Struthio camelus: one gene and its partners. The protein of the gene in region 2 purifies or fractionates together with the protein of the main gene of each other region. This does not show direct contact. Links are inferred from orthologs where the notes say so. Each region holds a gene or a part of one and is shown on either strand. Other genes may lie near its edges.

Region 1 (7,381 bases), on a different chromosome or scaffold from region 2:
TGTGAGGAATGTCTCCCCATTTTCATATAAAATGTACAGAGGATAGGCCAACACTTCTTCGCTCCCTCGCTGTCCAACTATGTTCTTTGGGAGTGGCACCAGTGGGCCAAAGTCAAACGCCACTGCAGTTTCTCCAAGCGATGCTGTGTAGGCCCTCCTGGGACAAGTCGAAACAAAACCTGAAGTCAGCAATGACTGGGAGAACACAGGTTATTTATCTAGGTCCATCAGTATGTGCTGTCAGACAAACTACTGCTAAACAGCTGACAATCAGTTCTTTGATGTCCTATGTTCAGCAGCAAAAGCCTGCAGGTAACATCTTTCTTCCTGTGCCGCATTTCTGAAATACGCTCACCAGCCAGTCCAACTTCTCAGGATACAAGGGGACGTACCGGTATTTCCTGTGTAATATATCAGTCTATGGCTTGACTAGCCAAGATCCTCGAGTTTCTCCTTTTCAGTTAGGCCAAGGAGAAAAGAGAAGGACAATTATTTTCTGCATTCCTCTCTCAGAAAGCCCTTTTTAACCACATGTTAAGGATGATGTGTAATGTGTATTTTTCAAATGCCAGCAAACACTAGACTGTACAGCTTGTTCCTCCTTTTTTTTTTTTTTTTAAATAAACGTGGGGTAAAAAAAGGTGCAGCTAGCGCACCAATAAGACATGAGAAGATTTTCTAGTGGATTTACCACTCATTCAATTAAAAACACATTTGATACATTTCAAAAACAAGAAGCCACACAAACCCTTTATTTATTATTAAAGTCTCCTCTTCAGCGTCTGAGAGAGCAATCACTTTGATGGGTGTCTGAGGCACCTTTAGACTGTAAATCCTGGAGAAAAGAGATAGGAACAATGTTAATTCAGTTGTCAGCGTTGCACGCGTCCCTGCTGATACAGAAACATCAGTAGTTATCAGCCTAAAATTTTTCCCAGTCTACGTTTTTTTGGTAAACCCGGTGAGAATGGTGATGCAAAAAGATCCAGTGAAAAATCAGACTGGCTACTACAAAAAAAAGTTGATGATCAGTTATAAACAGGTTTTACCTTATGGTGTTATCTGAAGTCAACAGCACAATATGGGGCTCTAATGTCTCACAGGGATACCAGGCAGCATGCTTTAAAGTCAGAGATGTTGAACTTGTGAAGAACCTTTCCGCAATAGGAATAGTACTGTAATACAGAGCAGAAGCGTGCAATGTTACCAAAAAACAACAGCGAAAGAACCACACATCCCTCCCAAAAACAAAAACAGAATGAGTTACTACTTCCAGGGGAAAGTAGGGGCAAGAAGAAGGGGAAACCCATTTAAAATGTTTCAAAGGCATTGGCTGTATAATTCTTAAGGCTGAAGGGACAGCTTTAATATGTAGCCCTTTGCCATTTCCACCTGAAAACGTGCTTTTACCTGCCAATGCTAAAAGATCCAAATGGTTAGTGAAAAATACAGAAGAATACCTTGTTCCTCTGCAATTGCAACAAGCTTTGTTGCAACAAGCAACAACCAAACAGCAAACCCCGAGCCAAAATAACCGCGTTTGTGATTGTCTCTACAACCCTGATACAACCAATGCCTTTCCTATCTAGCCAGACGAGAACAGAGGCTCTCATGGAACAAACAGCAAGACAGGATATCATGAACCACCTCAGGTCTTACCCACCTGCAGTTGACTGTTGATTTCCCACCTTCAAATTCAGAATTCTTCCCCCAGCGTTTAGGCAGTTCCAGTACCATGAGCCCTTTAGTACCAATGAGCGCCACATGATGCTGCGTGGGGCTTAACAGTGTTTGATAGACCTCAAAAAGGGGGGGATTTATGCAGAGAAGAGTCTGAAAATAAAAGTGTTACAGTTAAACGCAAGCCATCAGAAACGCTCATGGAAGTACAGCGTTCAGGATTTAGTATCCAGTTTGCACGGCGATTTATGCACAGGCCATGGGGTGATAAATAAAGCTTGTTTCAAGCCACACCATCATACAAAAAATCCATCCGTTTCCCTGAGCGAGGGCCCCACGTTGAGAAGTACTTCTGCAGCCACACGTCACTTAACTCCTCCAGCCCAGCCGCGACGGACACAGCGGCTGCACGGCCACGGGGAAGCCGCCACCACGCCGACCCACGCGTGCTCCTCGGCTGATGGTTTTACCCCCAGTCCTGCACGCGGCAGCGGCTCGGTGACAGGGGGCAAGTGCGAGCCGGGAGGGCGGCAAGCGGGGCCAGGGGGCCCCCCCGCCCAGGCGGCAACAGGGCCCTCGGCCGCCCCTCGCCGCTGAGCCCGGCCCCGGCCCCGCAGCCCGGCCCTGCCGCTGCCCAGCGCACGCCGGCCCCACGGGGCCCTGCTCGCTGCCCCACGGCCCCTCCCGGTACCCATCGCCGTCCCCATCTCCTCCCTCGGTCCCGGCCTCTCCCGGTAACGATCCCCCACGTCCCGGTGACGATCCCGTCCCCATCTCCGGCCTCTCCCGGTAACGATCTCCATCCTCCCCCCGGTCCCGGTCCAGCCCCTCCCGGTAACGACCCCCCCGGCCCCGGCCGGTAAGGACCCCACGTTCCCCCGATCCATGTCGTCCCTACCCGCCAACCGCCCCAGCCCCCCCCGCCCCATAACGGTCCCCCACTCCTCCCCCCCCAGCTAACGGCCCCAGACGCCCCTCACCCGATAACGGTCCCCCCTCCCCCCCGCTAACGGCCCCAGATCCCCCCCCCCATAACGGTTCCCCTCCCCCCCCGCTAACGGCTCTCCCCACCTGGTAGCGGCCCAGCCCCGCGGGCTCGGGGCCGCCGAGGCGGCGGAGGCCGATGGTGTGCAGGGCGCTGCTCTCGCCGTCCCAGAGGAAGAGGTCGCCGTCGAGGCCGAAGAGCAGGTTGCGGATGAGCGGCGGCCGCGGGGCGGCGGCGGCGGCGGCGCTGCGCTCGCGGAGGCGGCAGAGCACCGCGTGCTGCGGCAGCGCCGCGCGCCACTGCTCCGCCGGGCCCCACTCGGCCGCCATCGCGCCGCGCCGCGCCGCCTCCTCCCCCGCCCGCCCGCCCCGCCCTCGCAGCCAATCAGCGGCTCCCATCGGCTCGCGTCGGCCCGGACTGCATCTCCCAGCGTGCCCCGGGGCGGGGTGACGGCGGCTCCCGGCATGCCCGCGGCGCGGCGGCGGGCGAGGCGGGGCGGGGTGGCGGGGGTGGCGGCGGCGGCGGGCGGCCATGGAGGCGCCGCTGCGGCGGCACCGCGCCCTGTACAAGGGGCCGGCGGCGCCGCCCTGGAAGGAGACCTACCGCCGGGTGAGCGGGGCCGCCGCGCCGGGGGAGAGGGGGAGCCGTCTGGCGGCCTCCGGGCGCGCAGCGAGGCGCTGCGGGAGCGGGCGGCGTGGGCTGGGCCTGGGCGCCGTTACCGGGCGGGCGCCGACTGCCGCTACAGCCGCTCCGCTCCGCCAGTGCTGTAGCAGCCCCCCCCCCCCCCCCCCCGCGCGTCACTGACGGGCCCGTGTTGTCTCCGCAGCGCTGCGTGGAGAGGCTGCGCAACAGCCGGGCGAAGCTGCTGGACCGGTACCGGCAGGCCGGGCAGCGCGTCGGCGCCTCGGCCCTGGGCGCGCAGCTGGTGCAGGAGGTGATGGAGCAGGAGTGGCAGGCCCTGCGCTCCGCGCCCGGCAGCCTGCCCTCCCTGCGCGGCGAGCAGCCCTTGGCACAGGTCGGTACTGCCGCCGCCTTCGGGCTCCTCGCCTCGGGATGTCGCCCGTCGGAGGTGGGCACATCGGGTGCACCGCTCTGCCGCTGTAGCTGCTTTCTTCCCCGGTGAGCTCCAGCCTCCTCTGCTTGGAGTTGGCCCAGCTCAGACCTTCTGGGTTTCGAGCTTCGGCAGCTAGTGCGGGATGTCGTGAAACAGCTGTGAGAGCGGTGGCCTTCGGGCCCAGGAGCGGGGAACTTCCTTATTTCCAGCACAAGCTGGGCATGAATCGCAGCAGAGGGGGGATTTCCACAGCTGTGGTTTTCAGAGCGCTCGTGTCACTGACTGCTTTCACTTCCAAGAAATGGTAAAAAGACTCTAACGTTTTAAAAGGCAGATTCTTGGGCAGCCTGTGATCCCATCCCTTATGAATATTTTTGCACAGATTAGTATCGTGTATGTTGCTTTCTACAGTGCATGTTTTTGCAAATGCAGAGATGTGACAGATAGACAAGTAAGGAGTGAACTTACATTACACTGACAGCTTAGTCAGGCGCTGGAAAATAAGGGAGAATGTAGGCAGAATGGGAGAATTACTGACTGATGCACCTTTCAGATGCTAGAGGATCCTGACGAACTAGCAGTGCTGGAAGAAATCCAACATGAATTGGTGTTGCAAGGTAATTTCTCAAAACGCTTTTTCAGACTTCAGTTTAAATCGTAATATTTCTGACTTTCTAGTAATCCAAACGGGGGTGAGACTGAACTCCTTAGTTCTTGTAGACCATGGGAGTTTCAAGAAGAGCCTCTTTGGAAGTATCTGTGGCCTCTCTAGGGCACTGAGCCCTTTGTGACAGTTGTAAGTTTGAATGGCGCTTTAGGGTCTGTGAGAAGCTAATAGAGTCAGGAGACAGCACTGTGACGTTTGGGAGCTGTAGGAGCATGTATAAATCAATGCAAAGTATTTCTAGGTTGCTGGTTGAAGTGTGTTATATTTGCACAGTTGAGACCGCCTAAGGATTGAGCCATAGGAAAAACTAGATTAACAGGAATCATTCCTCCAAGTGTAGAAATGCGATCCAAAGATAAGATAGACACGTTCAGAAGTAGTGGCTGTCACAGACTGTCCACCAAGCAACTTCATGCATGTTTCTGTAGCATCTTGAGCTCATAACAGATGCCCGAGGGTGTTCTGTTCCTTGATTGCAGAACAGTTGCTTATAGAAGAATATGAGCGAAGTCTTCAGTTTGATGAAGAATGTCTCAATGCGATGCTTGATGGCTTGGATGCCGGTGACAAGATCATCTGCCCCGTGTGTAGAAAGTAAGAACGCTCTTGGCGCTGGAACGAGATGCGTGACAGAAGCCTCCCAGGGCTTCTCTACTCCGTAGTCTTGCAGGTCTGAGCAGCACTCAAAAGCTGTGCTACTCTAGATATTGTTCTCTTAATGAACGCTGGCTTCTTTCCTGTTGTTCTGTGCAAGATATTTGGGTCTTTTCGTGCAGCCGCCTCTGTCTAGAGCACTCTGAAGGGAGTTACAACAAGATCATTGTGTAAGTTAAGGCTGAATTTCAGCTGCAAGGTGATAGCACAGAATTTCTCTTCTGTGCCATTCATGGAACAAAGTATTCTGTGAGGAACCTTGGTGCTGCAATCAACCTAGCCATAATTAGCACAAAGAGGGATTGATTCTCCACCCTCCTCCCGCACATAAAAAGTTTGGGCTTAGAAACAGGCGCTAACAAAAGCAACAGGCAAACACAGGCTCCTGTTTGTGGGTATTTCAACAAAATAGAAAACTGAGCAACGAGCTCCAAAAATCTAACAACTCTTGCTAAGGTCTGCCTTTGTTCTAGTTGTTGTTGTGAAGATGCTCAGTGTCTGCTGTCTTCTTAGGAATAACCTGACCGTGCGGAATCACTTGGTTTTTTGCCAGTGTGGATTATACATCAGTACACAGGTAAGCTATGTTGTGGATGAAGTGTAATTAACATCCTCTGTCTATTGCGAGGTCAGCCTCCTTCTGAACAAGAGGAGGCAGTTTTAAGCTACGGAGCAACTTAAGTCTAAGATTTCTTTTAACCCAATTTATCTCAGGATATGACAGAAGAGAAGCTCCGGTCAGTTCTAGAAAACACTATAACAGAGCACAGTCACAGGTGCTTTCACAATCCAGAGTTTACTGTTACCAGCGGAATGGAGGAAGAAACCAGTCTTCTCATGAGCTGTTCGGTGAGTCTAAATGTCAAGTTTCTGGAAAGGCTCTTGGGTCAGACCAACTTCTGTACTACCTATTTAGCTACACACAGAAAGCAGCAGTCCATTGACCTCAGTGGTTTGGGTTGCTGTTTCTCTCAGACTCTCTTGACTACCTGCAACCATGAAAGGAAGGGCAGTAGCATTACACAATTTACAAAATACACCTTAACTGCTGGATTAGGGAGTCTTTTGAGGACCTATCAAATTAGCTGACTTCCTTTCTCACACCTTAGCAAACAACTTTGCCTTGTGTAGAGCATCTATTTTGAGAAGTGTTTCCTGAAGAAAAGCTGTAAAAGTTATTTCAGTTTAGGCCTCCTCGAACAGCTCAGGCCTCTTAGAGAACCCACATACCGTAACTTCGGCTCAAGCTAGAGCTAGCAGGAAGGACTTAAACTTGCTGCTTAAGTAGAACTGCTGGGCACTGATATGTGTACCTATCTGACTACAGTTTTAGGAACAGAGCATTTCAGTTTTGTATATTAATAGAGTTATATATAAAATGTATGAGTAGAGTTTGTCTGTTTGTTTAACTTCCCTTACTTCTTGTAAAGGTCTGTGACTCCTGGATGATTCTCCTGTAACTTGATTTCGCTGCTGTTTTTTCACTGGAAGAACTTCTTGAGTTTAAAAATCTGCCCAGAGCTGCTACTATTATGTATATACTTGTAACTGTTGTGTCAAAAACATATTTGACAAGGCAGTAGTATTGCCTTAACTTGCACTTTTGATGACACAGTAAATATTTTGAAATAAATAGACCTAGTTTATTTCAGCTTCCATGTTTTTTTATTATTATAATCAGTGCATCAGTGATATCACAGCTTGCACTGGCTTTCGCTTTTGTTTTCTTTTCACTGACAGCATCTGTGCTTTGTTATATCCTTTTCTTCTGTTGTAGAGAACAGAGGAGTCCCTGTAGGCTTAACTACACAAAGCACCAAAACCTAGTTCCTTTTCAGTATAGGATCCTCCTAAAGGAATGGGACTGCTCTGGTACAAAAGCTTTGCTTTTGTGTGAGGCGTCCCCCTATTTGAGCATGGGTCCGATTAATTAGTAAACAAATATTGTTTTAATACACCTGGGTTAACAATGCATAGACGGGCAGAAGGACAGCAAAGAGAAACGTAAGTTGAATGTATTTCTCGTGAGACAAAGACGACTCTCAAAACACTATAGTGTTGGCTGGCTAGCGGGTGGGAACAGCAGGTGCTTGGATTTGGATTCCTGACAGCCAAGGCTTCAGGAGGATGGAGAGAATCCTGTTCCTCCCATGGTCAATGTGGTCAGCTCTGGTCAGCCTCTGCAAACAGTCATGAGACACATTTCTCGTTGAGTCATAAAGGAAAATTATGTTAAACTGAAACCACAGTAAAGCAGCTTAATTCTCTACCTCAGTACACGTACTTCCCTGAGCACCCTGCACAACAGCAAAGCTCATCATTGCTAACTGAATTGCACAAT
Region 2 (7,404 bases):
CAATATGGTTTATGCAAATCCCCTCCCCCAAACCAAAAACACACACACCTAACAGATAGTCCTATAAACAGCAGCTGTCAAAATTGACATATGGAAATTCCCTCTGTGAAAGCCAACCCTTCATCTCTATCAATACTGTTTCACCAGAGGCTCTCAAATTCTTAAGTCTGAGAAATTCTTAAGAAAATCCCATTTTCCTTCCTCACTAACCTGGAGGAAAAATAACTAGACGCGTTTTAGGTTTTACTTAAGGGAGCACGTGGATACTTTGGTATAGCCAATACATATATACATACACAGTATATAGTTATTAAGGAAAAGGTGAGAATGAAGACAATTTTGCACTTCGGTTGTGAGCTTGTGGAACAGTGATTTCTTCCTCTCTTGCAAGACGGTTGTTTATTCAAAGCGGATAACTCGGTGCAAGAACTCTACTCCACTCCACTCACACACATCCTGAATACTTATCCAAGTTCACAGCCCAAAATCTGGCTACCAAAAGAACGCGGGGCTGCAAGAAAAGAGGCACACTCTCACATACGAAAAGCCAATCTCACCATACGGCACTGAACACAGGAAACCAAACCTGAATGACATTTGAACGTGAGCTAGCATAGAGCATCCTGACAGCGTGTTCCCAACGACTATACTCTGCATCAGCTAGAGTTGCAGCAAGTTTTCTTCCTGCATGATTAATACCATAAAACCCAGTAATTTTAAATGCGTGACAAGGACTGTGTCAGAAGCCAAGAGCTCCATACCATGAAAACCTATATAAAGCTGTCTCTGCACAAACACCAGGAGACATGCCTTACCAATTTTATTGGGATCTTCTCCCAGCTGATTTTGCATGAGAAGATTTTTAGTGTGAAAGATCTGCAGACTCGTTCCCCCACCAGCAAAGACCAGCCCATATTTGTTAGACACTGCAAGAAGACTGGACCGCTCTTTGGGAAGATCATCAGGAGCATCAAAGATCCGGACCTTCTTCAGCGCTCTAAACTGAAAATCCTGTTGTAAAAGAGTCAGGAAATAGCTGTTTGTATGCTGGTAACGAGGATCAGTTTACTTCAGTTTCTCTAGGACGGTAAGTTGAAAGGCCTCTCCTTGAGAGCTGCAAAACACCCCTAAGGCAGAGTCCAGACCCACACTGTCCCTGGCCATCCTATCACATTTTCCATCTCATACACTCACTTGCGCTTCATGTAAAGAGCAGCTTGTTTCCATACCTTTTTAAGGTGCATCTTATCTTATCCGCATAGCGCCTACAATTCCCATTATTTACTTCATCAAAAAACTAGTGGAAGTTACGTACACTCCAAAGACAAAACGACTGACTTTAAAATGCTTTACCATAGGTTACCATAAGCCTGTTTTCACAAAACCTGTAGGAGTTTAGTACGTTCAAGACACCTAGCCCTCTGCAAAACGTACCTGAAACTAGCTAATAGATACAGAAGAAAAAGAGAAGGGAACGAAATAGAGAAACATACCGCATGACTAAATAAAATGCGTTTTCTTAGAGACCCAAGCTGCAAAGCACGCATCTATCTAGACGCATCTTTTTTACTACTGTAGTAGCAGTTTAACATACACAGAACAGACATGGTTATTCCTTCCACTGTCCCCCAGGGATTACTTTGTATAATCAAATGTATGTTGTGTGCTCATTCCTCTCATAATTTGCATTGTCATTTGTAAAAGTGGGAAGAGCAGAGCAAGAGATAAACTGCAGAAGTTATAAAGCTACAGAAACACAAATCGACTGCATTAAGAAACAAGTTACGCTATTGTCAGGTGAAATGCTAGACTCCCTTTAGAAATGACCCTGACCCTGTCCTCCCAAAATGCCAATCACTGAATAAAGCACTACTTCATTTTTTCCAAAGCACTGAGTAAGTGCATTCCTGCACGGGAAGGAGGCTGCAGAAACTTAGAACCTCCTGCAAAACAGCCTGACTCCCTGGTTTTTGGAGGTGCCTGAACAGAAAGCAGCTGCACAAAGATGCACATGGGCTTGGAGCATCTGCACAGACAGCCCTGTCTCACCACATTCCTCCCTGTAACACTCTGGGACAGACAGGGAAGCGCTAGTCCAGGACAAGACTCCAGTTTACTCGCCATACGCGGAGCCCCCCACGTTAAGGCTGTGCTCAAGTCTACTGTTCTCAAGGCAGGGGAACCCCAGCACTAGGCATACTGACAGGAGGACTGACAACAGCATCAGTCCTCTCCCAACATAAACTCCAACTCTCCCTTTTTCCTCTCTTAAAGATGTCAGCTCGCCCAAGATCCATGAAAAACAGCAGAGCCCACAGCCAAGCCCTTTATCATCCTCGCAGCTTTACCAAGCCCCCCCTCCACCGCAGGCCAGGCCAGGACACGCCAGCCCACCCTTCCTCCACCACCTAGCCTGTCCCAGAGTCTCCTAAAAGGTCCTCAAGTGCTCCACAGACCCTGGAAGGCTCCCTCCAAAGTCCCTGCCCCCTGTCAGCCCACGCCGCCCCCCCCCCCGGCACGCTCCCCCCCTCCCCCCCGGCACCGAAATCCATCCCCGAGCCCGACGACTTCCCCTCTCACGGCCGGCCTGCCCTCGTCCCCCCACCCCTCACCTTCATCTCCCGCTCGGGGATCACGTCCATGTCGTCCCCCATGGCCACAGCGCCGAGACCCGCAGGCCCCGCCGCCCGGCGCACAGCCGCGAAACCCCCGCGCGCTCCGCCAGCGCCCTCACTTCCGCTTCCGGCGGGGCCGCGCTAGCCAGCGCTCTCGATGGTCCGCGGCGGGAGGCGGCGCGAGTCCTCCAGGGCCGCGGGCCTCGCGGCCGGAGGGGGGGGGGGGAGGAGAAGGAAAGGGGGGGCCGCGCCGGCGCTTTAGCGCTTCCCCCTTCCAGGCCCCCAAAACCAAGGGCCCCAGGTGCGTTTCCAGAGCTTTCCGCAGCTGCGCGGAAGCTGTGGCGAACCGCGTCCAGGCCCCGGCCGCCTTATTTTCTGACGCAGCCGCGGAGCCTGTCAGGAAGGCGGCGCGGGCCCCAGGGTGACGCAGGAGAAGGGCCCTGCCCCGTCACCCCCCCGGGCAGCTCCTCTCCGTGCCCCTGACACCCACTTGCTTTAAGAACCGAGAGGGCGGGAAAAAAAAAAAGCCTTCAAGGGAAAGGGAGCCGCGTCGCAAGCGAGTGCTTTTGGTAAACAAAACTCCTTAAAACAAGCGCAGCCACCTGTTTCCTTTCCACGAAGTCAGAAGAAGGCTGGCTTTCAGGAGGCGGCCTCTGCGCTCTGTAACACGAGCTCCACAGCGCTCGGTCAGCTGTTAGGTTGGGGCCTCCTTGATCTGATCTCTTATCTCCAGGATCTAGTGGAGGGTTTATATTAACCAACTTGGAAACGAGCTTGTTTAATCTGCAACTGGTCGTTTGGTCCAAGCTTCAGAAAAGCCAAACTAAATAAGGGTGACACAGGGTGTAGTTTCAGAAGATTTATTTTTGGTCTTTTCAGTAGACTGGTGCTGCTCTTCCTCACTGTTTTTATCTCTCCGTTACAGTTTTCATTTTCACGCAAACAGCAGTGAGAATTTGTTTTTTATTTAAAAGTGCAGCCTTTGGCAGGAACAATAAGTCTAGCATAGAGTTACAATCATCTGTATTTCCTTTTAAAAAATTTATTAAACAATGATTTTTAAAAAGTTAAAAGCTGCCAAGAACATGTAAGGGGAGGGAGGAGAAGAAAGCAAATATCTGGAATCCAGAAATTGTGCATAGAGCAAGAATCACAACAGTATCCAGAAGGTTGATAGAGTCCCAGCTACCTCTAGATCCTGGCATCCTACTGCATGCTTGTAAATCATTCCTATTTTGCAGGCTTGAGATTTTCTACATCAGGAAAACACACCCAATCGTCCCATGAGACAAAGCTGAAACATACGCAGAAAGATCTGCAAAAATCAGAAAGCCTGAGCAGCAGCACGAAGATAGATCCTCATCCACAATGGTCTGGAAAGACTTGCAGAGCTCACAGTTTAGTCAGCAGTTTCCTGAACCTGCAGGTTCAATTTCCCTTAAGCCTTCCTCAGGGGCTGTAAAGGCCTAACAGCAGGCCTGCTTCTGCACTTTGTGGACAAGACAGACAGCCACCTGTTCAGAGATTATGCTCCAGATCTGACCCAAGCAGGGATTTATCAGGGAGGGGCCCTAAAGTAGCTTTAATCAGCCTCACTTGAGCTGGCTGGTGTTGCACTCTCCACCTCTTCAGGATAGGTTTGCAGCTTCCCTTTTTTAGATCAGGGCTGTGACTTCACTTGCTGCTTGCCTTTTTTTCCTGTGGCTAACCAGTAAGTCTTGGAGGGCAAGGAAAAGCCTAGCAAACTAGGAAGGGAGGAGGAAGACCCAAGATATTAAAAGCAGCAGTGGGTTGATAGCTTTTCCTCAGCTGACAGACTTCGCAGAACTTGTTCTTTTAGGTTCTGTAGAACTTATGCCTTTAGGTTCTGAGGACCTCAGGGCTCAGGTGGGTTTTTAATCCATCATGGTTGCAGAGGCACCCTCCAGTCTGCCTTCTGGTTTAGAAGCATCCTGTGGAAAATTTTGTCTTTGCCTTGTAGCCAGGAGCCAAAAGCTGTCATCTGGAGACAGTTCTTGCCTATTTCTAATCTCGCTTCTGGTAGGAGCCAGTAGGATGCTGCCTGCATGGTTTATCTGCAGACCATGTTCCTGCTGACAGCTTATGTTTGAGATTTTATCATGTCCTCTCAGCAGGCAAGCTGTAGTGGAAGGGCCCAGTAAACTGGCCTCCAGAACAGAGGGGCACGCTAGCCCTACTGATTTCAGGGAGGTAGGGACTCCAGCCAGTTATTTTTGCAAGTTTAAAAACTTATGATATGCACTTAAGTTCAAGGTGAAGCCCAAAGGAAAGTCCTTGCTGAACTTAGCAGCTAAAGAAATACTCCCTTAGGACCATCCCAACCTCAGCAGCAAGCAAAGGTCTTAGAGGAGAGCAAGACCCAGGCACATCATGCTGGCTGAGCAGAGTCTTACTCCTGGGGCTATTGAGACCTGGGACTAAGATCTGCTTAAAGGGCACTAGAAAAGGATCATTAACAGCTCACTTGGCTCAGACTCGTGAAGATCTGACTGCAGGATGAACTCAAGGAGCAGAGAGAAGCCCATCCCTGCAGGAAGCCATGTCCACTCCAAGCATAAAGGCCTTCAAGTAGACCTCTGGTGTCAATGCACCTTCTCATCTTCATTTGGGAAGAGACTAGGCCACAAAGGTGGGAGCCTGACTTGTGTTTTGGCCAGATCAGGAGGGGAAGAACTAGTCCAAAGTCAGGAAGCACAGGATGGAGCAGTGAAGGCACTTAATTCTTTGCACCCATGAAGCTGCTGTCAGGGGCCAGAGCTGCTGCCAGAGAAGCACTCAGCATCTGGCAACGAGACCCCTTAGGAACCTGCAGAGACAAGCACAGCTCTGAATCCACAAGTTGGGAGGAAAGTAGCTCCTTGTCGTCTAGGAAATGCAGAGAGGGCAAGGGAAAGAGTAAGATCCCAGGATTTTTTTCTTTTTGGTCTCACATTATACTTTGTGCTACAGCTTCTCTCTAACAAATCAAGCTGGCTAAGGGATGTAGCAGAAAGATGCGAGCTGGGTGGGGGGTCCCCAGCTTCCCTTGCTGTTCCTCTAAGGCAGGTTAGTTGAAAACTAAGACCGTCCAAAGTAAAGAGTAACAAAGCACAGGTAACCTCTGTTACAGACCAGCAAAGCAAACAGTTCCAATTTTCCAGCCTGTCCTCTTCAAGGGAGGCTGGCTATGTCTCTCTCTGGAGGCGGGCCAGAAGGTTTTGGGTTGCTTTCATTGGCTTTTCCTTCAAACATCATGACCCTGCAAGACAGCAGATAATATAGATGAAAAGAACAAGTCCATCTTCACCCATCATTAGGGGTATACTTCACCCATCATTAGGGGTATATCTCGTCTGCTGAATGTAATGAGCCTTTGCTTCCTATGCAAAGGACATCCCACAACTAACAGGACAGAAAGCCAACAGAGGGCAGTGCTGGCAGCTTAGCAGGCAGCTTTGCTTTTCCAGCAATCTCCAAGAGCGGGTTTCCCAATGCCCCAGCTGGTTTTCCTCCCAAAGCACAGAGGATTAGCATGTTTGCTTTAGACAGCCATTTCCGAATCCCCGGGCATGCACTGCATGCCAAGCACTCCTGATGCATAAAAACATATACCATCCCTGGCCCACCTCATACATAATGACACTGCACAACATTTGAAAGAAACAAAAAAAAAAGAATCAAGCAAGCAGCTGCAGCCAGGCAAGAGGGCAGAGACAAGGAGTAAGGGAGTAGCCAAAGGAATCCTAAGCATTTTGCAACTGCCAGCACTGTCTTCCTCCCTGAGGACCGCAGCCATGCTGGGAATGTCAGCTGCCACGCTGGATCAAAAGATTTCACTGCTCTTGGGACAAGTTTTACATCTCTGCTCCTGCTTCAGAGTCCAACAGACAATGGGGTGCCTGTTTGTTAGCAAAAGGGATCCACCTGTGAAAGCTGCCGCAGTTTAGAGGAAGGATGGAAGATATGGGACAGGCTGAAGGCTCAGCCTGCTTCAGGAGAGAAAGAAGGAAGCAGGGGTGTCAGAAGTCTGTCTGTGCCTGGGAGAACACCACCTTAACACGCAGACCCAGGGCAGTCAGTGCAGAAGAGGAGAGACACATGGCTAACGAGTGTCTACCAGCTCAGAGGGAACATGTGACAGGTGGGCACAGGATCCTTCCTCCCAACCTGCCCAGAAAGCTGGCTGCATTACTAAAGCTGCCTTCAGAAAGGGCCAAGGGGGATGGAGGGGAGCAACTCCTATTCATTAGTTAAAGACACAAAAGCAGGGCCAGCCTGCTCTGTGGTTGTAAAAGGCAAAGCCAGGTTTCAATGAGGCGAATATGGAGCCAAGAGAGCCCACCCCACAGCTAGCAGCAGCCAAGCTAGTGTTCAGAAGCCATTTGTTACAGCAGGACTCAGAGCCCCGTTGAGAGGGCAGAGGAGGCCGTGGGAGGCCAGCGCTGGCAGCTGAAAACCACAGAAAACCTCTACCAGCACAAGCCAGCTGTTTTAAGCATGTGTCCCCTCTCCACCTACTCTCACACTGCCTCGCTCTCCAAAACCAGGCAAGGACAGAGCATCCTATTGCAAATAGGAGCCAGCCCTGCTGGGCCCTCATTCACTGCTCAAGTCCTCACACCATTCACAGGCAAAGCCTGTGTGCAAAGCCAGCAAGAGCCACAGGGAAGAGGCAAGAGGTCCTGCAAAGCTGAGTGCCTGCATGCTCTAGGAAAAGGAGGAGAATCACTTGCACCGATCATGTAGGAGGAAGCCTGCTCTAGCACATAGCAGGCAGCTTTGCCATGAA
Region 3 (7,063 bases), on a different chromosome or scaffold from region 2:
CAGACCACCCAGTGGATAAGTTGCCCTTTGCATCTCAGTTGACTATAGCCTTAAACCTTTATGTTGAATTGCATGAGACAGTTGTTGCTCAACTGATAGACAGTTTGGGCAATACTAGTTGTTCTTTATTTAACTACATGTTGCACTAATACTTTTAAAATATATTAATCCAATATACACAAGGTGTAAATACTTTGAACTGCGCTCACTTCCCAATTCGTGCAAAGAAGGGGCATATCAGTGATTCCAGTTCCTGTTAATCTTTCAAATATACCTAACGTTGATTTGCTAGGCGCCCGTGCAAAACTTTGAAACCCACTTGGGCCTATTTGAAAATTAAATATAACAGAATTGTCTGGGTAATTCATACAACAGAAACTGTTCCCTTTGTTATGAACGTAGGACAGTTATAACAAGTGAGCACCAGCCCAGCACTCTAGAAAACACTAGCTGAGAATGTTGTACTTACACCCCTGACAATAATGAAAAGATACATGATGTCTTGACATAAAAGATATTGTAAAGTGGCCACACAACTGCATCAGGAAGACAGCTGGAGTTTATGGAACTGGTTTGGGTCTCTGGAACTAAGATTGTATATGAATTCCTTATAATTGTTACAGTAGTATTATGCTTTCTCTGTTTTCTTCTTAAGTGTTGTCTGTTACATTTTTGTAACTGTTGCTTAAATTGGAAATATTCATCAGGCCAGCAAAAGGCTCAAGATGTACGAGGAATTTGCCTTGCTATGCTGGAAGCTTGTGAGTGAAAGAAGGAAGAAATTGATAAACTTAAGCTCATTTCAACTGAATAAGGAAACCTAGATGCAAGAGGGGATGAGGAGACAGCATGGCCTGAGCAGTGAGAGGATCTGTTTAGAAGCCCTGAGCTGGGCATCTGTGGCTCCTCTACCATACTCTGGGTGTGAGACTGGTAGTCTCAAAGCGGGGAGCTGTGGTAGTTTGTGTAAATATACAGACTATTTCAGGGTTTTATTTACTGTTTAGGGATTTAAAAGGCAATCTTGGTTGAGGCCTGTCATGGATGTTTCTTAACTGTGCTAGCACTTTCCTTCATAGACAAGCTGAAGCAGTCACCAGTTAAAACCAGATCCATCCAGCCTTGAGGCGCGAGGGATTTATAGCATTCCATAAAAGGAAAAGTGTTTGATTATGACCTTTGACTGGTTAAGAAGCTTCTTGAATAACTAAGAAAGTACATAAAAAGCCTTGTTCCTCTTTGCTATGTAGAGACCAAATTGGTGAGGTTTATTTTCACCTTTGCCACCATGTGCTCTCTCCTATAGCTACTAATAGTAAATAAAAGCTTCTCTTCTGACCTAACCCAGAAGTATTGAGGATTTCTTCGACAGAAGCTTCTAAGTATTGTAACAAACTAATTAGTAAACTATCTTTTTTTCCTTCAAACAAAACAATAATACTGTGTGATACTTTACTTTGGAACAATTAAACGTGACTTGCTAATTAAAAAGTCCCCAATCATTTGATTTGAGCTCCTGCCAAATATTTACAAGTTGTTGCAGAGATAAGTTTGCCATATAGGATCTACTTGTTAGCATCTGTTTTAAATATATACAAATAAGTATTCAGTTCAGAGGATCTACAAAACATCTACTCCAGATAGCTCCATTCAGCAAAGGCCACAAAACACTTCCAATGACTAATCAGCAGCGTTAGATAACCAAGACATTAGGGTCCCTAAGATATCACTACGTAATCAGCAGAATAATAAGCCTTAAAAGATCTTGTACATTTCCTGTACCTTGACTCAGCTCAACTGTGAACAAACTGAGCCACTGACCCAGATAAAGTAAAGGACAGCACTTAGGAAGTCAGGGAAGATGCAAATAAAGAGTGGTACAAAAGCTTGTACTGGAGATGACCACAGTCACAGAGCTAAACAGCATGTTATCTTTGAACACAACTGCTACGTTAGCAAACTATTTTGCAAACTCTAGAAGATGACAACAGTGCATACCAGCAAGAAATTAAAAGGAATATTGGTATGTTTCACAGTCAAAGCACTGATTGTGGAAATGTCTGGAATATTAGCTCAAACAGAAACAGAGCTCTGCACACTGGTGTTCCAGGTGACACATGAAATTTAAAAAGGAAATTAGTCATTTTCAACATGGATAGGTAAAACGGATCACTCAGGATCACTGAGGACTTTATGCATTCTATGGTATGTCTGCGATGTTTCCTAGAATCTCTCAGGCCTTTAAAGCATATCTGTTATTGCACTGATTTACGACTTTGGCAAAGTCTTTAATTTGTCTTCCTGTGACACTTTGTGGTCATTGTTTTTGATGTTTTACCTGAGACCTTAAAGTCACTACAAGGCAATGTTTCTCAGCGCTTATTAGTTGAAGAGTTTAAAAAAAAAAAAAAGTCCTCAGCTCATCTTCTGTTCCACAAAATGAAGTGTGCAACTTTAATTTCCTGTCATTACGTTGATGTTCTAAGAATGACTAGCAAGCCGTAGTTTAATGTTACGGAACAGCAAAAGGAAGTATCTATGGCCTGTGGTGAGCTGAACTGTCAGAAAAGAGAGGAAACAGTCTGTTCACTTTCTGAACTAAATATGCATTGCATGAAGTCTGATTGCCGCCTACCCACGTGACTCACCAGAGAAGAATTAAATAAAATACAGCTGAAAAATAACCCTATCGCAACTTTTAACAGTTTGTTTCGCTGATGACAGTCTCCCCAAGTTTTGTGCTATTATAACATCCTGCTGTTACGCGCCTAGCAGCACTGCTCGCTGGGGCTGGGAATTTCCTCGTGGGTACCGTTCAGAAGAGTCAGTTCTCTAACTCCGCACGTGTCTACCTCTGGAAGTGCCCGTCTTGAACAGGCCCGCGGCAACGCGCGACTCCGCCGCGCCTCCCTCCCCCCAGCTCCCACCGGCCTCTTCGCAAATACTGGCGCAGCTACCCGCGCCCTCCTCGGGCCTTGCCGTGACGTCAGCTCCCCGGCGGACGGGTGCCGCGCCCGGCCATTCCGCGCGGCCGCGCCCAGGAATTTGCATCGCGGCCACCACCCCCTTCCTCGCGAGGCGCATGCGCGGAGCCGGGCCGCCGTTGCCGTGACTTTGGGAGGGGGCGGGGCGGTGGCAGCTGCCCCTCGCACCGCGGAAGGAGAGCGGGGAGGCGGCGCGGCCCGGCCGGTCCGCTGAGCCCGGCCGAGGAGGGAGCGGAGGGGTCGGGGGGGTGGCGGCGGCGGCGGCGGGCCGAGCGCCGGCGGCTCTCTTCGGCGGGCGAGGAGCAGCCGGGGAAGCCTCGGGGTGGCGCTGAGCTGCTGCGGGGATGAAGGACCGGCTGGCGGACCTGGCAGAGGTGAGGGCTGCGGCGGGGGGCCGGAGGGCAGGTGGCGAGCGGGGGCGGCCGAGAGGCTAGTTCGGGGGGGGGAGGGGGGGCGGCCCCCGGGAAAGGGGGGGCGGCAGGCGGCGGAGCCGGTGGCGAGGAGAGGGGCGGCGGGGTGTGAGGGGCGGGGGAGGTGGTCGCCGCGGTCGCCGCCTGAGGTAACGGTCGGCGGCGGGAACGTGGATGTTCCGTTGGTGGATGCGCTGAGGCGACGCCTCGGCCCGGTCCCTGGGGGCAGGGAGGTCTCCGAGCTGCCGCGCGCTGTTTTCCCACTCCCTCCTCGAGGAGGAGGAGGAGGAGAACTTCCTTCCCCAGAGATGGGAAGACGCTTCTAAGCGTCGGGATTCTTACAACAAACTTCAAGCTCCTGCGATTTGTTTTTATAGCTTAAGTTCTCCCTCTTCCTCCCTCCAGCACACTTTAAATATTAATATTCTGAATGACGGATGAACGGGGGAAAACAATTTTGTTTTTGAACTGTCCACAGTGTAGTGGAATAGAATATCTGCTTTGGAACCGTTTCACCAGTAATACGTTCATCAGCAAATAAAGCTATCTGCAGATCCTGTTTTGCGTGTGTTTTAAAAATGGTAGTTGGAAATGTTTATTCGTTCTTTTCCTTCCTCTTATTTACGCTTCAAAAGCAGTATCCTTAAGAAAAGAGGGAGAGTTGGAGGGAGGTACTGTGTTGTCTGTTTTCAGCAGGACATGGCTTGGTCAAAATAAAAGAGTATTTGACTCTATTCCAAGGATAAATGAAATTGGAGCGCGCACAGGAGTCTCTAATACTTTTAGGACTCTCCACATATACGTAGTTGGCCTCTGCTGAGCTATGTACAGATTTGGGCCTTATTTGTCTTAAATTCACATCTTATGGTTCAGAAAATACATTTCAGAAGCTCTGTTCTTATGCAGTAGGATTACCAGTCTGTCTTCCTCTCCAAAAGGGTGAATTGGCATTTGAAAAGTTTTTGCATGATTAGGTTACAGTGTCTTTACCAGGGAAGATAGAGGAGAGTCTTGTCAAAGAAAAGTGTATTTTCTTTCAGGTATATTTCTCTTCTCCTATTTCCTGTTTCTAAGTTTGTCCAGGTTGTAGGAATACGTGCCAAATTTCAGTGGTGGTGCATTCTTCCCAGGAAAAAGGAAGCAGCAAACGGTGATCTGAATTTGCTTTTTAATTTATAGTCTTAAAACATGTAGTCTGCCCTGACTGTAGGGAAGCAGCAGTGGTCTGTCTTTGATTAAAAAATAAAAATAATTCACTTAGATATTGTTAGACGCTTTTAAAGTAACTCTGTACGTAGGGGTTTCTAGGCCACCTTTAATATTTTTCATCTAAAAGCATCATTGCTGCAAACTGCTACTTTAATTGCAAACACTGGGATCAATATTTGTCAAGTGCTTCATACGTTCAAGAGTATAACTGAGGTTTACAACCTGTAAAATTAACAAATAGCAAAGGGATCTAAAATAAGGACTCTATTCGAATAAAGGACAGAGAACTCTCTTCTAACAAGAACAAAGTGAAGGCAATGTCAAGTGAAAGCAGAAAGATCAAAGATCCAACCTATGTTTTATCACTTGAAAGCATGCTATTGGTCAAAAGTTTAGAGAAGATACATACCAGAGGAGATAGCCTTTGTAAAACTTGATATCCACAGGGAATTCATAGAAGTAGCGACTAAGATCTTGCCTCTTTATCTGAAACATCAAAAGAGATGAAATTTTGGTGATGTGAAAGATTTTCCTTTACTACCATAAACACTTTGAACAGTGATTCTTTCCTTGATAATACATAGATAAAATTACTTTGAAAAGGAATAAATCACCTCTAGAAATCATACAAACTGCATTAACATTTGTTTGCCCATTTTCCAAACTGTTTCAGACTAGTTAGTATAAGTTGCACTGTATTTTATGTGGCAAAATCATTAAGTGAAGGGTAGTGGTTGTATGTTGCAGTTTTTAAACAGGCCTGGGCCTTCATGATCTTCAGGAATTACTAAGTCTTTGCCTTAATGTGAGAATGTTATTTTGTATTTAATTGATTATATCTTATATGAAAGCTACCTCCATCTTGTTTCCTTAAAAGACTTGATATGCTACACAAATCGTTTAAGAGATCGTAGCACTTTAACCAGTCCACACTGACCTGCTTTAAATAAATGCAATGCTCCCTTAAGAAGAAACACACATTTAAGTTTACAAGTCCTCATTTCCATGTTCCTGAATTGTAATTGAAGGCAAGAAAATTATTTTGTCACTTAAAATGGAAGATTTTGTTTTCTTAGATTTCTCTTTATAAAGGATAGCAAGCAATGTTAGTTATTAATGTTCATGGTCCATTGGCAGATGAAATTATCTCAACTTGTGGATACTTTTGTTCATACACTATATCAGACAGTTAAATAGTGCTAAAATACTTCCTGGAAAGAGAAACTGTTGTGGACATGCAGATAATGTTGCTGCTTATTATTTGTCAGCTAGGAAGAGTCTTGCAATGTACATACGTTTCTCAGAAGATAACAGCCTTACGTGTATTTGTTCACTTCTGGGGGATGATTTCAACATCTTGTTTACAAATTATTCTGTCTGCTCTCTTTTTTATTCCTTTGCTGCGATTGACTGGACAATTCATCAAGTTCCAGAGGTATTTAGTTATTTTTAGCCAAAACGAGTGTAAGATTAAAATGAGAATAAAAAGTTCTACCTAACTCAACATGTTGTTTTCAACAGTGCTCAATGGCGTATGCATAGTGAAGAAAAGAACAACAGGGCAAGCACGTAGCAATGATTCCCTGGCCTATTCTCCTAGCCCTGAATGGTTTGCAGTTTGGGGTTACACGACCACATTAAAATGATGTTAATATTTTAAAGAGTTATACAGTCTGTGCTCTGATGGTGGGTTCAGCACATCTAGCCAGCATTGGGTATTAAAAACAGAAAAACAGATGTCCTTTTAAAGATCTGCTAATAGAGTTCAAATTTTTTTTTTTGTTATGCCATTTAAAGATGTAAGATATAAACCTTTTCTGCTTAAGCAAACTTAATGCTTACAGTAACTTGAACAGAACTGCACTGATTTTTTTATTTTTATTTTTATTTTTTGTGAATAACCTCTTGTGCATTCACTTAGTGCCCCAAAAGTTCTATTTAGGAGTAGGGTAAAGAACCACAAAGTCACAAAATTTAAAATCGGTAGAATTGTAGCAGTAAGGAAAAACTGGAAGAGGAACTTTTTCAGAGTGAGGAAAAAAGTTGCCAAGTTATTTCTTCTGAGTTCATTTTTTACATTAGTCTTTGTTTAAGCATAGACTCTTCTAACGATGAGCTATGAGTTTTCCATGCCATAACAGCATAAAGTAGTTTCCTATAGTTGGTCACGATATGATCTTTTTCTATGTTGTGCAGTAATGCTACTAACATGCATGTTAGCGATTGACCTGCTAAAGGTGCCTGACTGATCTGGTTGGCCCTCAGTAAGGGAAAAGGCTTACTACCTGTGATAAAGAAAATTTCTTGAAAGACTGATGCTGTGAGGAAAAAATTGAAAAGCTACGTGCTCATGGTCAGGAGTGCACACAGATTAACATGGATTCAGTGACATATAGATCAATAGCTCTGGAGTCAGAAATTATCTAATAAAAAGTATTTTAAGTAGAACAGACTGGGAAA
Region 4 (7,735 bases), on a different chromosome or scaffold from region 2:
CGTTATGTATGGAAGCAAGACAAAAAAAAGGAATAAAGTTCTGCTAACTCAGAAAGACTCTTAAAAACTTCATCTTGTAAACGGGCAGTAAGCAGTACTACTGAAAAGAAAGCCAACCAATCAATATACTCTTCAGCTTAGAGCAGTTAATACTCCCACCAGACACACAGACTCCTAGGCATGTCCCTTTCTCCTCACATACCGTTTCCATGGCTCAACCGTGAGCTGGGAATGACGTTTTCAACTACAATAAACGTTTAAAATTAGATGTTCTTCAGGTAGCACCATTCATTCTGGATTTAAGCCCGTTTCAGTTGTTTTTATGCAGCGCTAAGGACGCAATCCAACAGCCGGGTGACTAAGAGAAGTTAGCAACCCCATGGAAGCCAAAAGGAAATGTTCTGAATAGGGTCCTTTGCCACTCCCAGCATTATCTTCAAAATGACCTACCTACTTGCAAACTGAAATACAGAAATGGTGGCTTTGTGGTCAATACCAGCTGCAATCAGCTCGATTTCCTACTCCTTATAGGGTACCCACATTAAGTTTATAACCTCTGATTTATTCTGCTCCTACACTTTTCCCATCACGCCTAAACCTGAACCGTTTTAACTGCCAGTTCCAGGCCCGGCTACAAATCAGTTCAACACTACTAGTAAGTGGGGCAACAAAAGCCAAACGAGAAGTTAAAAAAAAAAATTCTGAACACAGCAAGAATCTGACACCTATCGAAGGTCAGAAGAACTGCATTTACAGAATGCTGTTTACATAGTTATCCCAACTCTAAGTGACCCTGGACCTTAAGTTTAAGGCCACAATTATCTTATTATGGTCTACCTGAACCACTTGAGTATGTAGCACATCAGAATGAAAATACACATTTTAAAAAGGAAAAGGAAATACTTCGGAGTATTCACAACGGTCCCTAGAGCACATGCAACCATTTACAAAGTAAGGCAGCTAGAGAAAGCTGACTGGGGGCAGCAACTAATCAAAACAAAAACAGCAATAACAAAATCCACCACACGTGCACACACACACTAGGGAAGTCGCTCAGCTCCATCCTAAACACGTAATTCCATTGCTAAATGCAAGCGAATTACCACCCCGCTATCCTCTTCCATTCCAACGAGTTATTTGCATCACACTCGTCTATTTTTCCAGCTGCACAAGCAGAAACAGAGAGCACGCCACGAAGGCGTTTGCATTACACACAACACACCAGAAACCCTAATGAAACGATTGCTTCTCCCCCCCGCTACTTTACCGGCGCGGGCTCATGTGCAAGATTAAATCCACGCTGCCTGACAAAGCATCCGCCGGCGATCCCGGGGCATTCCTCCTTAGTACAGCTGCATCCCAACAGAGCGCCCCAAAATACCTCACGCCCGCCCGGCGCCGGGGCCTCCCGTGCCCAGCGCGGGGCCGGGCTCGGCGCCCCCGGGCCGCGGCGGGCGGGCCGGGGCCCTGCGGAGCGCGGCGGGGCCGCCGCAGCGCGGCCCCTCCCTCCCCCCTCCCTCCCTCCGCCCCAGCCCTGCGTTCTATACAGGGCCCCCACGTGATCCAGGCGGACGTTTCAATACTGCTGCACAGACACACAAAAAATATTTCTGGAAACTTCCACTCCTAATAATTTACAGATTATGTCCCTAGTTTTTCCCCGTGCCCGATCCCAATCCCCCTTCCCTCCCCCTCGGCCCCTCACACCGACTCGGAGGCCTCCCCCCCCACCCCCTCCCCGTCGGCAGCCGGGCCCGTGCGCCCCGGCGGCGGCTCCCGCACCCCCCGCCGCCGCTCTCCCCACGGCCCCAGCATCAGTGGTAGGCTCGGCTCCCTCTCCGGCTCCTCGGCAGGCACCGTAAGGCCTAGGATGCTTGTACCCCAGACCCGATTTATACCTCCCCCGCCCCCTCCGTTTCTGGTCAGGGCCCATTGCGCCTCTCTCTTGCCTCAGCCAAGACTTCGCGCCCTCCACGCACACCCGGCCGTAGCCCTCCCACTTCCCCCGCCTTTACGGCTCACGGCCCCACACCTTCCTCCTCCCGAGCTCTCTTCCCCCCCCCCCCCGCCCCACGCCTTACAACACCCCCGTCTCGCGCCCTTAGCAGTTACTTACCTAGGTGTTTCTTACAGCCTCTTCCTTCAAAAAGTAGGGGTGGGTGAGCGAAGTTTCTAACCACGCGCCGAAAAAAATGAAAATAATAAAAAAAAAAATCGAAAAATAAACCCCCCCCAAAAAAGCCCGAGGAGGGAAGCGGGGGGGTGGGTGGGGGAAGGAGGGAGAAATACACGCGCACCCTTCTCCCTGCGGAGTATTTATTATTAGCGTCACTCCTTTCCGCCCCACACTGCCCTCGAGCAAGCGTGTCCTGGCCTGACTACGCTGCGCGCTCAGCCCAAGGCTGCGGCCCCCGGGCCGGCGCCCCCGCTCCCCGCGGGGCTCCCTCCTGCCTCTCCGCCCCGCAGCAAGGCCGCCCGCCGCCGGGCGCGCAGCAAGCGGCGAGCGCTCCCCTCTCCTCTTTCCCGGGGGAGGGGTCCGCGCGGGGCTCCGGCTTCCCGAGGCCCCCCGGGGGACTCTCGCCTTCCTCGTGGCCCCGGCTGCCCGAGCTGCGGCTCGCCTGGGCCCTGGCTCTCTCCTCGTTAAGCCGCTGGCTCCCCAGGCCTCGGCCCGTGCGGCCGGCTCTCTCGCCTCCCCAGGCTCTCGCTACTCCCGCCGCTGCGGCCGCCCTCCCTCAGGCCTGGCCGCCGCTCAGTTCACCCCCATTCCCACCCCCCCCCCAAGCTCGCACTAAACTTTGCCCCCCCAGCTGTGTCGGCGGCTCCCCCTGCGGGCTCCCCTATGAGCAGGTCACACACACGGCGGCGGAGGCAGCGGTGGTAGCAGGGACTGAGCGCGGCGCGTCTCCCCCTCCTAAAGCCACAGACTCGGAACCGGCTCAAACCGGTTCAGACTGGGAGATTCCATCTCGGTTTAGTTTTCAGCCCATGGCGCCGCGGAGCGTTTGGAAACCTCAGGCCTCCGCCCAGCGGGCGTTCCCATTGGTCCCGGGCGCTGCCGCCGCGCAAGCGGCCTCCGCTCTCATTGGGCGGAGGGCCTGTCTATCCGCTGCGCGCCTCCGAGGGGTGGAGGGAGCGAGAAGCGGGCGGGGTGGGGGGGAAGATAGAGGGGATCCGCCCCCTCTCCAGCAGCGCTTTGCGCGCGGGAGGGGGGGGGCGGAGGCGGGCCGCTGCTCGCTGACAGGCCGAGCCGAGGTGTCACTCAGTCGCCGGCCCGCCTCGTAGTTCTTAAACCGCGGGCACAGGTGTTGCTGCGCTCCGATTGGCTGGTGGCTCGGTGTGACGTGCTGTTCTGAGGGCGGCTCTTAGGGCTGCGCTGGCGAAGGGTGCGCGCGCCGTGGGGGGAGGGGCGGCGCGGCGCGGCGTGTGGATGAGCGGCGGCGGTTGAGGGGGGCGGGCTCGCGCCGCTGGCGGGGAGCGCTCGTCCCTGAGGGAGAAGGGGCTCTCGGCCGGTTTGGGGGCGGCTCGAGCCGCCCGCCGGTGCCCCGTTAGCGCTGAGGCGTTGTTTCGGCGGGAGGGCAGGCTGGACCGAGAGGGCGCCGGTGACGAGGGGCCGGGTGGCGATGGCGGGCCTTGCCCCTCCGGGCGCCCTAGCTGGGGCCGGCTCAGCCAGGTGGATGCTGAGGCGTTGGGCCCTGCTGCGGTGTCCCTAGGCTGCGGGAGGCTAAAAGGCTATCCGGGTAGGCAGTGGAGGTTGAGGGCTGCTGTGTACCTCCCCGCGTTCCCTGCACCAAGGTCCGTGCAGCTCTGAAGCGCGGTCTCCCCCCCCTCCCCCACCCCGTTGTGCCTATATTTATAGGGTATCCGGCTTGCTGCAATAACTGTATCCCCCACAGTCTCTCAAAGATGCATCTCAGACTGTGGTTCAGGCAAGGCTGACTCACCTAGCAGTAAGAGAAACATAGCAGAAACGCTTGTCCACCAGAGCTGGTGAACAGGGATGACCTGAGGACCTAGGCTCAATTTTTAGGGGTGGCTCAAACTGAACAAGCTGGGGTCGTGAGTCTCATTGTCATGTGAAGGAGTGAAAGAATTTGCTTAGTAACTTTAACACGGAAAAACAGGGTCTTGTTAGACCTTCCATCTGTAACACAGTTATCTGCAGAAGTGCTCTATGAGAATTTACGTTCAGTACAGGTACTCAAGTTCTGTATAGCTAATTCAAAACCTAGCTCCTTGCTTGAAAAATGATGTGTATAGGAGACTTGTAAAAATCTCTGCCTCCTAAGAGGAGGAAAATACTGTGAAGTATTTCATTATCTTTCTAGTAACAAATACTGCAGTTGTCCAAACCTAGTTGGAGGTAAAGTTTTTTTTCTTTTGATTTTTTTGAAACAGCTATGCATTGCCAGTGAAACTCCTGTATAGAAGTGATGCCTTTTGTTTGTAGAATGCTCTGTCTTCGTTACAGTACCCAAAGGAAACTTGGGGTGTCCGTGGAGCTTGGAGATGTTGCGGAGCTAGACTATGGCCAAGAAGGGGAAAAAGCTTATGCTTGAGCCCTTTTGAACAGCTTTTTAAAAAAGTGAGTGCTTTTATGCATGTTCAGCATGAGGCTTTACAAAAGTCTATCCTCTAAGAAATGCTGACTTTTGCTAACAAAACCAGAGTCTTTTAGAGTTGCCTTTATTTCTCTCATGAACTGAAAGACTAAGTTTGCAGTTGTCTTTGAGAAACTAAACCGATATCTTCTGGTTCTGCTTCTTTTTTGCAAGATGGAAGTGCAGCAAATATCTGGGAATACTACAACGGGTCTTCTGAAAGGTAGATGTTTTCCTTGGTATTCCTGCAGAGTACACTAGAGTATTCAAGGGATTCTTCAGCTGAATATGTAGAGTTTAATTTGTAACATTAGTATTAACTTTGCTAGGCCAATTTCTTATGCTCTAAACTGTAGCAGGTTGCAAAAGGATTGGCATTAATAGACTAGCTTTACAAAAGTAAGCCCTTTGATTCTTGGCTGTTGCGTTATTAAAACAGAAATTATAAAAATGAACTGCAAAGTGAAGAGACATAGTAAGATCTGTGTTCCTTTATCAACATGTATTATTTCTATATCAATTATTGTTTTAAATCATCTGCCCGGGTAGTTGTGTTCACTTCTGGCATGTGAAATATAAGCCTCTCAACTAGTGTTTGTTTTTTATCTAAAGGCTCTAAGAAGCTTCTGGTAGAACCTCCTAGGATAAGTTCTCCACAGCTTTAGTAAAAACCTGTAGTAGAAATGAGCTGAGTGAGTACATGAAGAAGTATACAGCCATAGCGTGTATGGGATAATAATGGACGGGGTGATGACCTGTGAGACATCGTCTGCAAAAGTAAATGTCTAGAAAATGGCTATGGAATAGTTCTATAAGCTATGAATGTCAACATAAAATAAGATGTTTATTAAAATGAGTAGTTATTCAAGTTACCTGTGCATTCCTCAGTTTCTTTCTACTTTTTATTATGCTACAGCTTGTCTTTGTTGGTAAAAGCATTCAAAGATTTGTCTTCCGAAGTTGATGGATAATTACAGTACTGGCTTAATAAAGCTTTATTTCTGGAGTTTTTCTATGTGATTGTCCAAATTTTAACAGAGCAACCTTATCAGACAACTTATTCTCTACAGCTTATGTAATTTTTGATTGCGTTGTAGATGACAGCTTTGTATGTAATGTTTCCTGTGCTGACAATATGTTAAAGCCTACCCTTAAATAAAACTTCATGCTGCTTCAAAGACTGTTCAGTTAGCGTCTACAAAAGTTTAAGGAGTTGGTCGGTTTAAGTAGGAGGTAGCTCTTTCAACCAAGAGCCCATTCATAGACTACTTTTATTAATTTTTATATATATTTTCAGGATGGGAGCTTATTCTCTTGTATTGAATGTCTAGTCTGAGCTGAACTACTAGCTCCACAATGCTATGTGAAATTATGAAACTGCAGCGTCTATGAAGTAGTTCATAATGCCACTTAAGAATAATACCTTCTCAGGAAGTTACTTGTTCCCTATCACGTTTATTTCTTTAGCTGAGACTGCTTTTGAGACCACAGCCCCAAAAAGGAATACATTTCACACGATTAATACCAAATCCTGACCGATGATGTGATGTATTTCCAAGTTGAACAGGCACTTCTTCATTAGTGGAGAATCACCAAAAAGAAAAATTGTCTAAACTAAGCCAATAAATCAATGTTCAACCTAGAAATGCCGAACTTAATTAATGCCAAGATTAATTTTTTGTAGTAATCCCAAAGGAAAATTTCTAGTAGTGTGCAAGTCAATAAATAAACTTCAGTAAATAGACTATAGCTACACCTATTTCTACTGTACTCGTAACTATGATTCTCAATAGCCTTACAAGTTCTAGGCAGGCTGTGGATATTCCTGTCCCTCAGCCTTCACTTTGTGTTTTGTTGTGTTTTTAAAAATATATATATATATATATATATAAAAATATATATGTTTGTGTGTACACGTGTATATATATATATATACACACACATATACATGTAAAAAAAATTATGTGAAGGCTAGGGAACTAATGCTTGTATCCAAATAAACATTATTTATGTTTCAGGCAGAAGCTGAGGAGATTCAAGGCCATGTGATACCAGATTAGGTCCTGTGTGACGTGTTACTAGGGGAAATAGCTGAGCCACCAGAAAAGTCACAGGTCAGTTTGGCAGCGGGGAGAGCATACTGAAAGTGATGTAGTATCTGAGCTTGCCTTGGCTGAATCGGATGTTTGCAGAAGCTTTCTGGCCCATGTTTAGATGATGTCTTTAGACATCTAGACTTTGGATGTACTTAATAAGTTCACAAACTCTGAATTCAGAGTTTGTGAGAAAGACAAGACTACAAGGCCACCCAAAGTAGAAACTGCAACTCTGAGACCCTCTTTTTTTTTCTCCTTGTGAAGAATAATTGTCTTTTAAAAAATAATAATAATAATAGCAGAGAACTTTACTGTTTTTTCTGTACTTAATTTGTAAGTCAAGTCTCTTGGAAAAAATTTTTGAAGCAGTTAAGATTTGGAAGGGCGGGAATGTGAATGCAGTATATCTAACTTTTTTATCATGCATCAAAATAATTCTGTCCTGTAACATCTCAGTCATGATGATAATAAATACATAATGCTTTGTTTACTTCATGTTGTTTATCTTACTTGAAACTCTGTGGATTGACTTGTATAGGAATTACCAAATTTGTCGTTTTTGCTGTGTGAATTATGGTTGACAATAAAGTTGTAGTTGATAGGGACTGAAATAGAAAGCGATTCAAATAAACACAGAATGGGTGGGTGCAGCAGGTTTTCAGATGCGTTAAAAGCATGCATGTGTTTGTAACACTTGGAAAAAACAGTTTCTCCATATATGTTTTGATGTTCCAGTTAGTTCTGGTGTTCAAAACAAACTGATGTAAGAGACTAACAAGTCACAGATATTTTTAACTTCTTTGGCTTACGAAGAAGTTTCATTTGCTCTGTTTTCTTCTTCTTTTTTTTTTTTTTTTGTTTGGATTTTTTGGGCCAGAGAGAAGAGTTAAAATCCTTATTGACTATTTCAGTTGAAATTAGATATTTTAAACAGAAGATTAGATGCAGCTCTTCACCTGCATCAGCTACTAGTAATGCCCTAGAATGAAGTGCATTTAGAAAACTGTAAAAAATAAGCACGACAGAGCTTATAGCCTTGCA

The links.
Region 1: the proteins of NUP214 (region 2) and NUP88 purify together in Homo sapiens (affinity purification with mass spectrometry; 6 studies listed by BioGRID and IntAct, counting the BioPlex papers as one, with this or other methods). This does not show direct contact. The link is inferred for Struthio camelus from reciprocal best matches to the Homo sapiens genes NUP214 and NUP88.
Region 3: the proteins of NUP214 (region 2) and RAN purify together in Homo sapiens (affinity purification with mass spectrometry; 3 studies listed by BioGRID and IntAct, counting the BioPlex papers as one, with this or other methods). This does not show direct contact. The link is inferred for Struthio camelus from reciprocal best matches to the Homo sapiens genes NUP214 and RAN.
Region 4: the proteins of NUP214 (region 2) and XPO1 purify together in Homo sapiens (affinity purification with western blotting; 4 studies listed by BioGRID and IntAct, with this or other methods). This does not show direct contact. The link is inferred for Struthio camelus from reciprocal best matches to the Homo sapiens genes NUP214 and XPO1.

Annotation. Positions count from the first base shown.
Region 1 is NC_090957.1:13,531,019-13,538,399, reverse strand, and holds the start of NUP88 (nuclear pore complex protein Nup88), read right to left. Parts: upstream 3,017-7,381; 5' UTR 2,995-3,016; coding exon 2,752-2,994; intron 1,834-2,751; coding exon 1,664-1,833; intron 1,176-1,663; coding exon 1,050-1,175; intron 836-1,049; coding exon 749-835; intron 158-748; coding exon 1-157. Other genes in the region: RPAIN (RPA-interacting protein), read left to right, coding at 3,197-3,274, 3,492-3,680, 4,273-4,336, 4,866-4,980, 5,554-5,617, 5,755-5,889, 6,471-6,500. UniProt on the Homo sapiens protein: Component of nuclear pore complex.
Region 2 is NC_090961.1:6,136,853-6,144,256, forward strand, and holds the start of NUP214 (nuclear pore complex protein Nup214), read right to left. Parts: upstream 3,007-7,404; 5' UTR 2,655-3,006; coding exon 2,613-2,654; intron 1,012-2,612; coding exon 816-1,011; intron 1-815. Other genes in the region: AIF1L (allograft inflammatory factor 1-like), read right to left, coding at 5,787-5,874. UniProt on the Homo sapiens protein: Part of the nuclear pore complex. Has a critical role in nucleocytoplasmic transport.
Region 3 is NC_090958.1:14,150,662-14,157,724, forward strand, and holds the start of RAN (GTP-binding nuclear protein Ran), read right to left. Parts: upstream 3,007-7,063; 5' UTR 2,946-3,006; exon of another isoform or gene 2,649-2,945; intron 1-2,648. Other genes in the region: STX2 (syntaxin-2), read left to right, coding at 3,329-3,358. UniProt on the Homo sapiens protein: GTPase involved in nucleocytoplasmic transport, participating both to the import and the export from the nucleus of proteins and RNAs. Switches between a cytoplasmic GDP- and a nuclear GTP-bound state by nucleotide exchange and GTP hydrolysis.
Region 4 is NC_090944.1:131,247,975-131,255,709, reverse strand, and holds the start of XPO1 (exportin-1), read right to left. Parts: upstream 3,009-7,735; 5' UTR 2,857-3,008; intron 2,789-2,856; exon of another isoform or gene 2,141-2,788; 5' UTR 2,117-2,140; intron 1,445-2,116; exon of another isoform or gene 1,268-1,444; intron 1-1,267. UniProt on the Homo sapiens protein: Mediates the nuclear export of cellular proteins (cargos) bearing a leucine-rich nuclear export signal (NES) and of RNAs.